Linked DNA regions of Chlamydomonas reinhardtii. The protein of the gene in region 2 interacts with the protein of the main gene of each other region in a pairwise test. Links are inferred from orthologs where the notes say so. Each region holds a gene or a part of one and is shown on either strand. Other genes may lie near its edges. The genes, in order: CHLRE_02g110400v5 and CHLRE_06g258100v5.

Region 1 (4,463 bases), on a different chromosome or scaffold from region 2:
CTGTCTCTTTAAGTAAGCCCACATTCTTCTGCCCAGCCGGGCGACCGTGCAGGTTTGCACCACAGAACACATGCGCACGGTGGGAGTCGCACCTGGTTCTCCTCCAACGTCTTGAGCAGCAGCGCCAGGTCGCCGCCTGCAACCGCCTGGCGGATGGGCTCGTATTCGGTCAGGCCGTACCGCTGCAGCAGCTGCGGACGCGGCAGCACGCCCAACAGCATCTTGACCTGTGGGACGGAGGGCAGGGCGGCGACGCGGTGGTAACGGCACAATAGGAATTACCAGTACCGCTGTGGGCGTCCCCTCGTGTTGTCCGCTGCTCTGCCACATTCGCCCAGTTGAGCAGCTGCATTCTACAGGGTAACCGGAGAAAGCACAGCAAGACCCTGCGGCAGCCCGACAGGCGACTACTCACGGGTATGAGGTAGCGCAGCACGCGGCGCAGGTTGTTGGGCGCGGCGCTGAGGCAGTGCTCGAAGGCGTAGCTCAGGTGCTCGTCCGCCTTTTGGAAGTCCTCGTCATAGGCGGCCAGCCGCCCGGTGTAGTACCTGGTAGTGATGAGAGGGGTTGTTTCCAAAATCCATACCGTCACCAACGTACAAAAGAAGGTAAGGGAGCAAAAAGCAGTAGGGGACGGCATGGTGGGATAGGGCCCCAGAGGATTGCCGGCGACAGCCAGGGCATGCACACAGAGGCGCGAAGATACGGTGATAGCAGGGCGGCGGCATCCGTCTGCCATACCATGCTATGCTGCGCTGCTGCTTACCTGAGCGTCACCTTGTGCGCCTGCTTGGCGTTGTCGAACAGCCTCGCCACCTCAATCTGCTGCAGCGGCTGCTTGCAGTTATTGATGGCGTTCAGCTTGAAGTACACCTGCAGCGCATCCGGTGAGCACAGCCGCAGCAGATGCGGGGTGTCGGGATGGGCGGGCAGGGTCCTGCACTTCACATCGTAAACCAAGCCTCTGAATGAGCGCCACAGCCATTAGAGCATGCAACATCAGCTGCAGTCCGGCAGCACGTGGCATACATGCACCCGCACCTCCGCACCCACCTTCATCATCACGCACACGATGGCCACACTGGCGTCCTTCTTGACCTGGCTGGACTTGCTGGTGGACAGGCCGCGGAAGAAGGCTTGCAGCGTGATGGCGCACTCCGACATCTGCGACGATGACACGTGCAGAGGGGATTGTTAGGTCAGGTGGCTTGAGGGAGCGTCATGCGCGGGTGGCCCGCCCCCGCCCGGGACACCGCGAGGCTAGTGCCGTGACAGACCAGGCGGATGCAGCTGAGGATGCACGGGTGCCGGCCAGTGCTGCAGCATCCGCACGAGACTCGCGCAACCGCGCCCAAGCCAAACTGCAAGTTGAGACTGCCCGTCCCGCCCCAACCGCCCACAGCTGCCACATACCATGTTTGCTGTGAGCCCTTTGCGGTTGAGCTCCTCGTCGGCCAGCTCGCTCAGTACCTTGAGCGCTGAGGCCGCCCCCAGGGCAATGGGAATCATCCACTCGCTCTCCACGCCCTGCAGCAGACAGGGGGGCGAACGGGTAGGACTTGGCCACAGTCAACCAGCCGCGCCAGTTCATGCAAGCCACGGTAACGTGCGCCCCCAGCACTGAATGCTTGGCTTTAGTGGCATACACCGCGGTTCCAAGTACGATGAGGTCTACCGTACAAATACGCGCATGGGTGCTCAGGCACCGAGCACCTCAAGACTGCTTGGTAACCCAATGCTGAAACCAGTGCAAAGCCTAACGGCTTGCCCACCAGCCACCTACCTTGTCTGCATTAAGCATGGATGCTAGCCCGTCTGCATACTCCCGGTACTCCCTGTGCGCAGATGCAGGCAGGAGGGGCGTGCATTACATAGGCATGCACACCAGGCAAGCACATATATGCTTGGTGGCGGTGATGGGGGGCCAGGCCTCTTCACTCCACGCAACATAAATCGAGCCACACCGACATTTCCCAGCACCAGCACCCGGTACTTGCCATCTACGGTATCACCACAGCCATACCGCAGCATCCTCCCGTTTACCCTCGCTGTACTCCGTCACGCAGGGCCCTCAAGCCACGATCCCGGTCAGCTCGCTCCCTGCGCGCCTTACCCCTCCTCCAGCCCCCTTTCCCGCTCCCGCTCCTGCATTCCCTCACCATTACATCCAGTCACTCACTTGCATGCGGTTGCCCGCTCGCCGTTGTTCTGCGCCACCATGCAGCGCAGGTAGGCGGACACCAGCGGCGGCCAGCCCTCGGGTAGCGCCGCCAGCGGCCCGCTGCTGGGCACCGGCCGCCCGGACGCCGCTAGGTTGCGTGCCACCAGGCCGGCGTTGGAGCTCAGCGACAGCAGGCCCGCGGCTTGGCGGCCTGGGGTTGGCGAACCGTGGGGAGCGGGGTGGTGCAATGCGGGGATGGGGCACTGAGTGTTGGCGATGGCGGGCAAAAAAGGCCCGGGAGCGGAGAGCAGGCTAGCGCCTGAGGGCACTACGTTTGCCGAGACCGATGGAAGTCCAGAAAGCCCCATTCCCGGGGCTCGGTATGCGTGACAGGAGTGCCTGGTATGCAGCCGTGTCCATCCCCCAAACACGCCTGCCGGCACCGACCTTCCCGTCGCCGCAGGGCTGACGCCAGCTCGTTCGCATATGAGGAGAGCTGTGCCATTTGCTAAATCCTCAGCCGTCACACCGCGCAGGGCCGGTGCGAGATGGCCAGCACAAATGGCGCCGAGCCCTGCGCCCAGTCTAAGATGACTCTTACTTGTACAGGTATTGTGTCATGTAAAGACGCCAGCAAGGCGGCCAATACTGTCCAACCGGTTCTACACAGGAATTCGTGCCGACGACCTTCGTTGCAAGCGTTCACAGCTTTAGTAGGGCGATCCTAGTTCCTAAGTACAGTACAGCGTAAAAGGACGTGAAAGGTTTCACTGAACAGGTGCATACTGGCGCTTTGGGGATTGGCAGCATCCAGGTTCGGGCGAATCGGCTTGTGTAGTTATTCAACGCGTGCTTTGTCCTATACTTTGTGCATCTCACTTGTTAGGTTACATCCTTCGGTCTAAACAGCTGCAGCTGAAGACAGATTCCCAACTGTTTTGGCGTTTTTGGGGTCTCTTCGCCAAACATGCCCCCGACCAAAGCTTGCTGTGCTCATGACCATGATTGCGAGGCTGCTGACTGCGGCGTGGCCTACTCGCTCTACAAACACGTGGCGGTGGACCAGGTCGGGAGGGAAGGGGCGTGCCAGCACGCGGTAGCTGCAAAGCCGCTTCCAACCCTAGCGCGTTCCGCAGCAACACGCCTGCATTCACGCACATCTAATCCATTGTAAAAAGCAAATGGAAAAGCCCTTTGTCCTGCTCGTACGCGTCGTGCAGGTGCGGTGCCTGAACGAGGCGTCCGTGGGCTCCTGCCGCAACATCCTGCGGCCGTGGCACACCCGGCTCGACGCGGTGGAGACGCCGCTGCGCAGCAATGAAGACGAGGACGAGCAGGAGGTGCTGATACACGTGCCGTGAGTTTTAGGCACCGCAACCTGGTGGCGGGAGGGCTGCTGCCGCACCTCAGGGCTGGGGTTCTTCAATGCATGCACGCCTGCGCACGCAGGACAGATGGGCGCGTCGTCTCCGCTCGCCAGGAGTAGATGCCGATAAGCGACCGGCGTGAAATGTGCGCCATTCCCTACCTCACAATGTCTTGCATGACCTTGTCGTGCGCCGCAGCTTTGATGGCTCGGTTAAGCTGAAGGCTATCAGTGTCATCGCGCGGGGGCCGCCTGGCACGGCTCCCGGCCGCATGCGGGCCTACATAAACCGAGACGACCTGGACTTTGGGACCGCGGCCCAGGCGGCGCCCGTACAGGTGCGCGTGCATGATACGAGCGGATGCTGCTTGATGTGCTTTGTGAGTGGCTGCTGATGCTGCCGGCGGTCACCGTGCAGGAGTGGGAGTTGGCGGTAGATGGCGACGCACGCGGAATCATCGAGTACCCCACACAGGTGCGGCTACGTGTTGGCAGCTGTTAAAGGCTTGGGGGCTCACATATGCTTGCAACGTTTACTAATCTTTTGGGGGCTGCCGTGTGACGTTATGTGCCTTAGCGGTCGTCCACTGAAGCCGGATGACGCATCCGTGCGCTACCCTGCTGGCGCGCTACATTGCACCGCCAGGTGGCCAAGTTCACGGGCGTGCACTCGCTGGACCTGCTGCTGTCCGGCGCTTCAGGCGGCATGGACTATATTGAGGTACAGGGAGGGGAGGGGAGGGGAGAGTAGTGGAGCAGGTTTTCGGGGTGTCGTGTGGGGGTCTTTCGGGGTGTCGTGTGGGGGTCTTTGGCCGTAGGTTTGGATAGACTGTAAAGCTGGGGTTGCAGCTGAGGCCAGGATGGCTACGGGCAGCTCTTGAGCAGCTGGTCGGATCCGTCGCACGTGCTGCTGCCTCGCGTGCTCGCACTCGTGGC
Region 2 (4,418 bases):
GGCGTACAGGCGGAAGAAGCCGCTGTAATTGAAGCTCATCACCGCCTCGCGGACCTGCACGGGTGCGGGGTGGCGAGCGCAGGTGGTGATGGAAGAGAGCATTCTGGCGGCCATGGTAGCAGCAGGAGCCAGAACCGGCACGGCATGTAGAGCGTGCGCCTATCCGAACCCCCGCCCCCGATGCGGTCTTTTCACCTCGCGCTGTCACTCATCCCGTGCGGCGTGCGCTCTTAGCCCCAACCCCTGAGCCCCTACGCACCTTGAGCGCGTGCCGGATTTCGGGCGCGGCCGCCAGCTCCGATGGCACGTTGCGCATGGTGTGCAGCAGCGCCTTGGTCATGGAGCCGGCGTGCCGCCGCCCCGCTGTGGCGGCGTGCACCGTCTCGTACAGCAGCCGGTAGCCGGTGAACTCGGCCACACAGCCGGGCACGCCGTCCGCGTACAGGTGCCCCAGCCGCGCCTGGCACTGGTTGAACTCCGCCACGTCGCCGTACTCCAGGCTGCTGCGGCCGTGCGCCTCGTACACGCGCACCGTGAGCGCGTTGCGCAGGTGCTGCACCGTGCAGTCCTGCCGCATGCCCTTGAACTGGTCCAGCGAGTAGAAGTAGGTGGCCTCGCGCGACGCGATCAGCCGCACCAGCCGGTCCAGCGCGCGACACAGCACCGGCTCCGGCCGCACCGAGGACGGCTCGGGCTGCGAGGTGAGACGGAAGTAGGACTTCTCCAGGTTGTTGCTGGTGCCCACCACCACCTGCCCCCCGCCGAAGCGCCGGTCGTCATCCTCATAGTCGTCATCGTCATAGTCGTCCGACTCCGAGCCGCCGTAGCGGCCGGCCCCGGCGGCGCGGCCGTCGCCGAAGCGGCCGGCGCGCGCGCGGCGCTTCTGCTCCTCGGCTGTGGTGTAGGCGTGGCCGTGCGGGCTGGCCGCCGCGCCTCCGCGCTGGTGCTGCCGCGCCTCCAGCGCCAGCAGCTTCTTGCGCTTGCGGTTGCTGAGGTGCTGGTGGCCGCCGCCGTGCGGCGAGGGCGCGCCGTGGCGGTGGTGCTGCCCCCCGTACTGGCCGTAGTCCTCCTCATCCGAGTCCACGTCCTGCGACCGCTCATACCCGCGACCGCCGGCCGCCGACCGGTAATCGCCCGCGCCCGCGCTGCCGCCCGCCGGCACGTCGCCCCAGCGGTTGCGCTTGCGGCCCTGCGGCCCCGACGGCGACAGCGCGCCGCCGTCAGCGCCCGGTGCACCGCCGCCGCCGCCAGCTGCCGCGCCGTCTGGCAGCATGACCGCCTGCGTGTCCCAGTCGGTGGTCCACAGGCGGCCCTCGGACTTGACCTGGTCCAGGTACGCCATCAGCTTCTCAGACAACCGGTTGTCCGGCACACCCCGCAGCCGAGCCGCGTTGAAGCAGCGCGTCACCCAAGCCGTGAAGCTGGGAGGCCACTGCGTGTTGCCGCCGCCTGCCGCCGACGCGGGGCCGCCTGTGGCGGCGGGGCCGGCCTTGGCGGCTGCGGCCGCAGCTGCAGCCCCGGCCGCCGCAGCCGCCACGGCAGCGGCCACGCCAGTCTTGCCCGGCGCGGCGGTGGAGGGGGCGCCGCCGACGCCGATGTAAGCGGGCGCGGCGGCGGACCGGCCGGTGGGCATTTGTGGGCGAATGACAAACGGTGCCCGGCTGAAGCGCACGGCAACCGCGGCCGCATGCTGCTGTGGCGTGAGCTGCTGCTGCCCAGTGGCAGACGCAGGCGGGTCGCCGGGCGGCGGCCGCGGCCCTATCGGTGTCATGTTGGTGCCTGTAAGCCCGGTGCGCTGGTTGCGGTTGTTTTGCTGCTGGTGGCCGTTTTGCTGCTGGTGGCCGTACAGGTTTGCGGGCGGCGGCGCTGCGTTGTACGAGTCGACAACGCCAGAGTAGGGCTTGGAAGAGCCCGCAGCGGCTTGGACCGGCTTGCCACCCGTGCCCGGCGGCGGGTCGCCCTTAGGCGGCGCCGGAGGCGGTACGCCCGGCCTAGGCTGTGGGTAGCCTGGCTGGGAGGGATAGGCCTGCTGCGGCTGCGGCTGTTGTTGCTGCTGTTGCTGCTGCTGCCAATACTGTTGCGCATATTGCGGGTCGTAGCCGTAATACCCGTACTGCGCATACCACTGTGCGTAGGCTGCAGAGTCATAGCCGCCGTTTGCGGCTGCAGCCGCGGCACCTGCGGCCGAGCCAGCACCGGGCGTCACGCCTGCAGCCGCACCTGGGGCCGCAGGTGCAGACGGCGGGGGCGCGGTTGGCGCGGGCTTGGCGCTGGCGGTGCCAGAAGCGTGTGGCGGTCCGCCTGGTGGAGGTGGCGGCGGCTTCTCGTCATCAGCTGGTTTGTCCGGCTCCGCGCCGGGCGGGGGAGGCGAGGACGGGGGTGCTGGCGGAGGTTGCGCGACCGGGGGAGCAGCGCCGGTAGCGTAGGCCTGCCCCTGCTGCTGGTAGTACGCCGAGTAATCATAACCATTACCATAACCATATGCCGCGTAATACTGTGCATAGTAAGGGTCGGACATTCCCGGGGCAGCTCCGGCGCCTGCGGCGCCCCACGCAGTCTGCGGCGCAGCCGTCTGATACGCCATTTACCTGAACAACAACAATGAGACAGCGTTGAAAAAGGCTCCGAGGCGTAAGAGGACTGACAGTGACAGGGCGCGGCGCCGAATCTGAGAGCCCCGCCGAAACGGCTCCAAGCCCTCCCAAAGGCAGCAAGGGGAGTTAACGGACAAACAAAGCAACCAGAAACGCCCACCTGGTCCGAAGCGGGTGCCTCGCTGCTGAAGATTCGTGGGTCAGCAGTGGTGCGGCCAGTTAAGTGCAGCTGACGCCCATAACGGCCCACTATGGATGCTATGAGGAATGCGTTTACTGTGCGCTGCCAATCCAGAGTCCGAAGACGCAACGCAGGGGGATTTGCGAAGTTACAAGGAGTTGCCCTCTGAGCAGAAGATATATTACCTAGCGACTCCTACAACTATGCTGGTCCTTTTGAGTATACTGTATTGTGGAAAGTAGGCAGACACGGAGTTGGGCAGCATGTTGTTCAATGCGAGAGCCAGCCACGCCCATGCATGCTGGTTAGGCCCTCGATGGCACCTTTAGCCAGCTTCCTAAGAAGGCCCTTTGCAACTGTTACAGGTCTGATGTTCATCGGTCCCCAGGAAAACTCGTCTGCTTGCGGGTTATCGCACGCACTGCAGGCGCATACACGTGCATTCCTTCCCTGCGCACACGAGCGCCACCCCATAGCGGACCGTATCGTACTCCAGGCCACACTCCACCCCGGATTGCACCTGCAGGCCGGCCCCGTCAAATCTCCACCGGGCAGCTGCCCACTTCCTTAGCCATGCCGACCGACAAGTCCGGTCGAACCCAACAAAGCGCAGCCCCAAACCCGGAGGTCACGAGCCTACTCGTCATCGTCGCTGTCCTCGCCGTCCTCCATCCCCATCATGGCCATCATGCGCATGGCCAGGTCCGCCGCCCGCTCCCGCCGCTCCTCGTCCGACATGACGCCCAGGCGGTCCTTGTGGCCTGTGCAGGAAGGGGGCACAGCGAGAGCGCCGTGCGCAGGTGTGACCTCGGCAGCGGCGATCCAGCGGTGCGCAGGAACATGGACACCTGCAAATGTGAACATGCGATGCGGTGCTGCATGGCGGCGGAGGGAGGGGGTAGGTGACGTGGGCCAAGGAAGTTGGCTGCATGGCTCCGGCTCAGCACCACCCGGTACGGGCTCCGCGCGCCCCGACCGCCATAGCCGCCTTCCGCTCCGACTGCTGCCGTTGCCGCGGCGCCGAGGACGCCACATGAGCGGTAGCGGTATATCAGGGCCCGGTCCTAGCTATCACCGTGAGCGCGGCCCATGGTGCCCTGATGGCCGCATCACCATGACGCCAGCAGCTCCGTGCCATGCACAGCTCCGAGGGCATTCCCATGAGGCGATTCCAAGAGCCCAGTGTGCCTCACCCAACACGTGCCCCAGCTGCTGCTCAAGCGCTCCCCCTCGTCCACCACCACACAACAGTGACTTACCCCGCATCTCCTCCATTAGCTTCTCCAGCCCCTCCATCACCTTCTCCGCCTCCTCGTCCTCCGCCTCCTCGTCCTCCACCTCCTCGTCGCGCCGGCCCCCGGCTTTTGGTGCGGCGCCCATAGGTGCGGTTTCCGAAATGGCCGGGGCTGCTGCTGCTGGCTTGCCGGCCTCACCGCCCGCCGCTTTGGAACCCCCGTTGGCGGTGGCAGAGGCGTCCGCGTTTCGTGCTGTTGAGGTGAGTTGGGGTTTAGATGGCGCATCAAGCCCGCTGCTTGATGTTGCCGCTGCTGCCGCTGTGTCCTCCCCACCTAACGCCGTGTAGCCGCTGCCGGCCGCGTCCGCATCCTCCTCCACGTCGTCGTTGCCGGAGGCGCCAGCAGCTT

The links.
Region 1: the proteins of CHLRE_06g258100v5 (region 2) and CHLRE_02g110400v5 interact in binary tests that used the Arabidopsis thaliana proteins (3 or more experiments, as listed by UniProt). The link is inferred for Chlamydomonas reinhardtii from reciprocal best matches to the Arabidopsis thaliana genes SAC3A and EER5.

The regions. Positions count from the first base shown.
Region 1 is NC_057005.1:5,745,658-5,750,120, forward strand, and holds the start of CHLRE_02g110400v5 (uncharacterized protein), read right to left. Parts: upstream 2,903-4,463; 5' UTR 2,667-2,902; coding exon 2,609-2,666; intron 2,373-2,608; coding exon 2,180-2,372; intron 1,836-2,179; coding exon 1,784-1,835; intron 1,528-1,783; coding exon 1,414-1,527; intron 1,165-1,413; coding exon 1,054-1,164; intron 874-1,053; coding exon 767-873; intron 549-766; coding exon 416-548; intron 228-415; coding exon 93-227; intron 1-92. Other genes in the region: CHLRE_02g110450v5 (uncharacterized protein), read left to right, coding at 3,129-3,227, 3,382-3,518, 3,727-3,865, 3,946-4,002, 4,174-4,248. UniProt on the Arabidopsis thaliana protein: Involved in the regulation of ethylene response. Probable TREX-2 component required for nuclear RNA export.
Region 2 is NC_057009.1:1,262,868-1,267,285, forward strand, and holds the start of CHLRE_06g258100v5 (uncharacterized protein), read right to left. Parts: upstream 3,006-4,418; 5' UTR 2,755-3,005; intron 2,589-2,754; 5' UTR 2,585-2,588; coding exon 260-2,584; intron 55-259; coding exon 1-54. Other genes in the region: CHLRE_06g258150v5 (uncharacterized protein), read right to left, coding at 3,412-3,536, 4,035-4,418. UniProt on the Arabidopsis thaliana protein: Component of the TREX-2 complex (transcription and export complex 2), a muliprotein complex that functions in docking export-competent ribonucleoprotein particles (mRNPs) to the nuclear entrance of the nuclear pore complex (nuclear basket).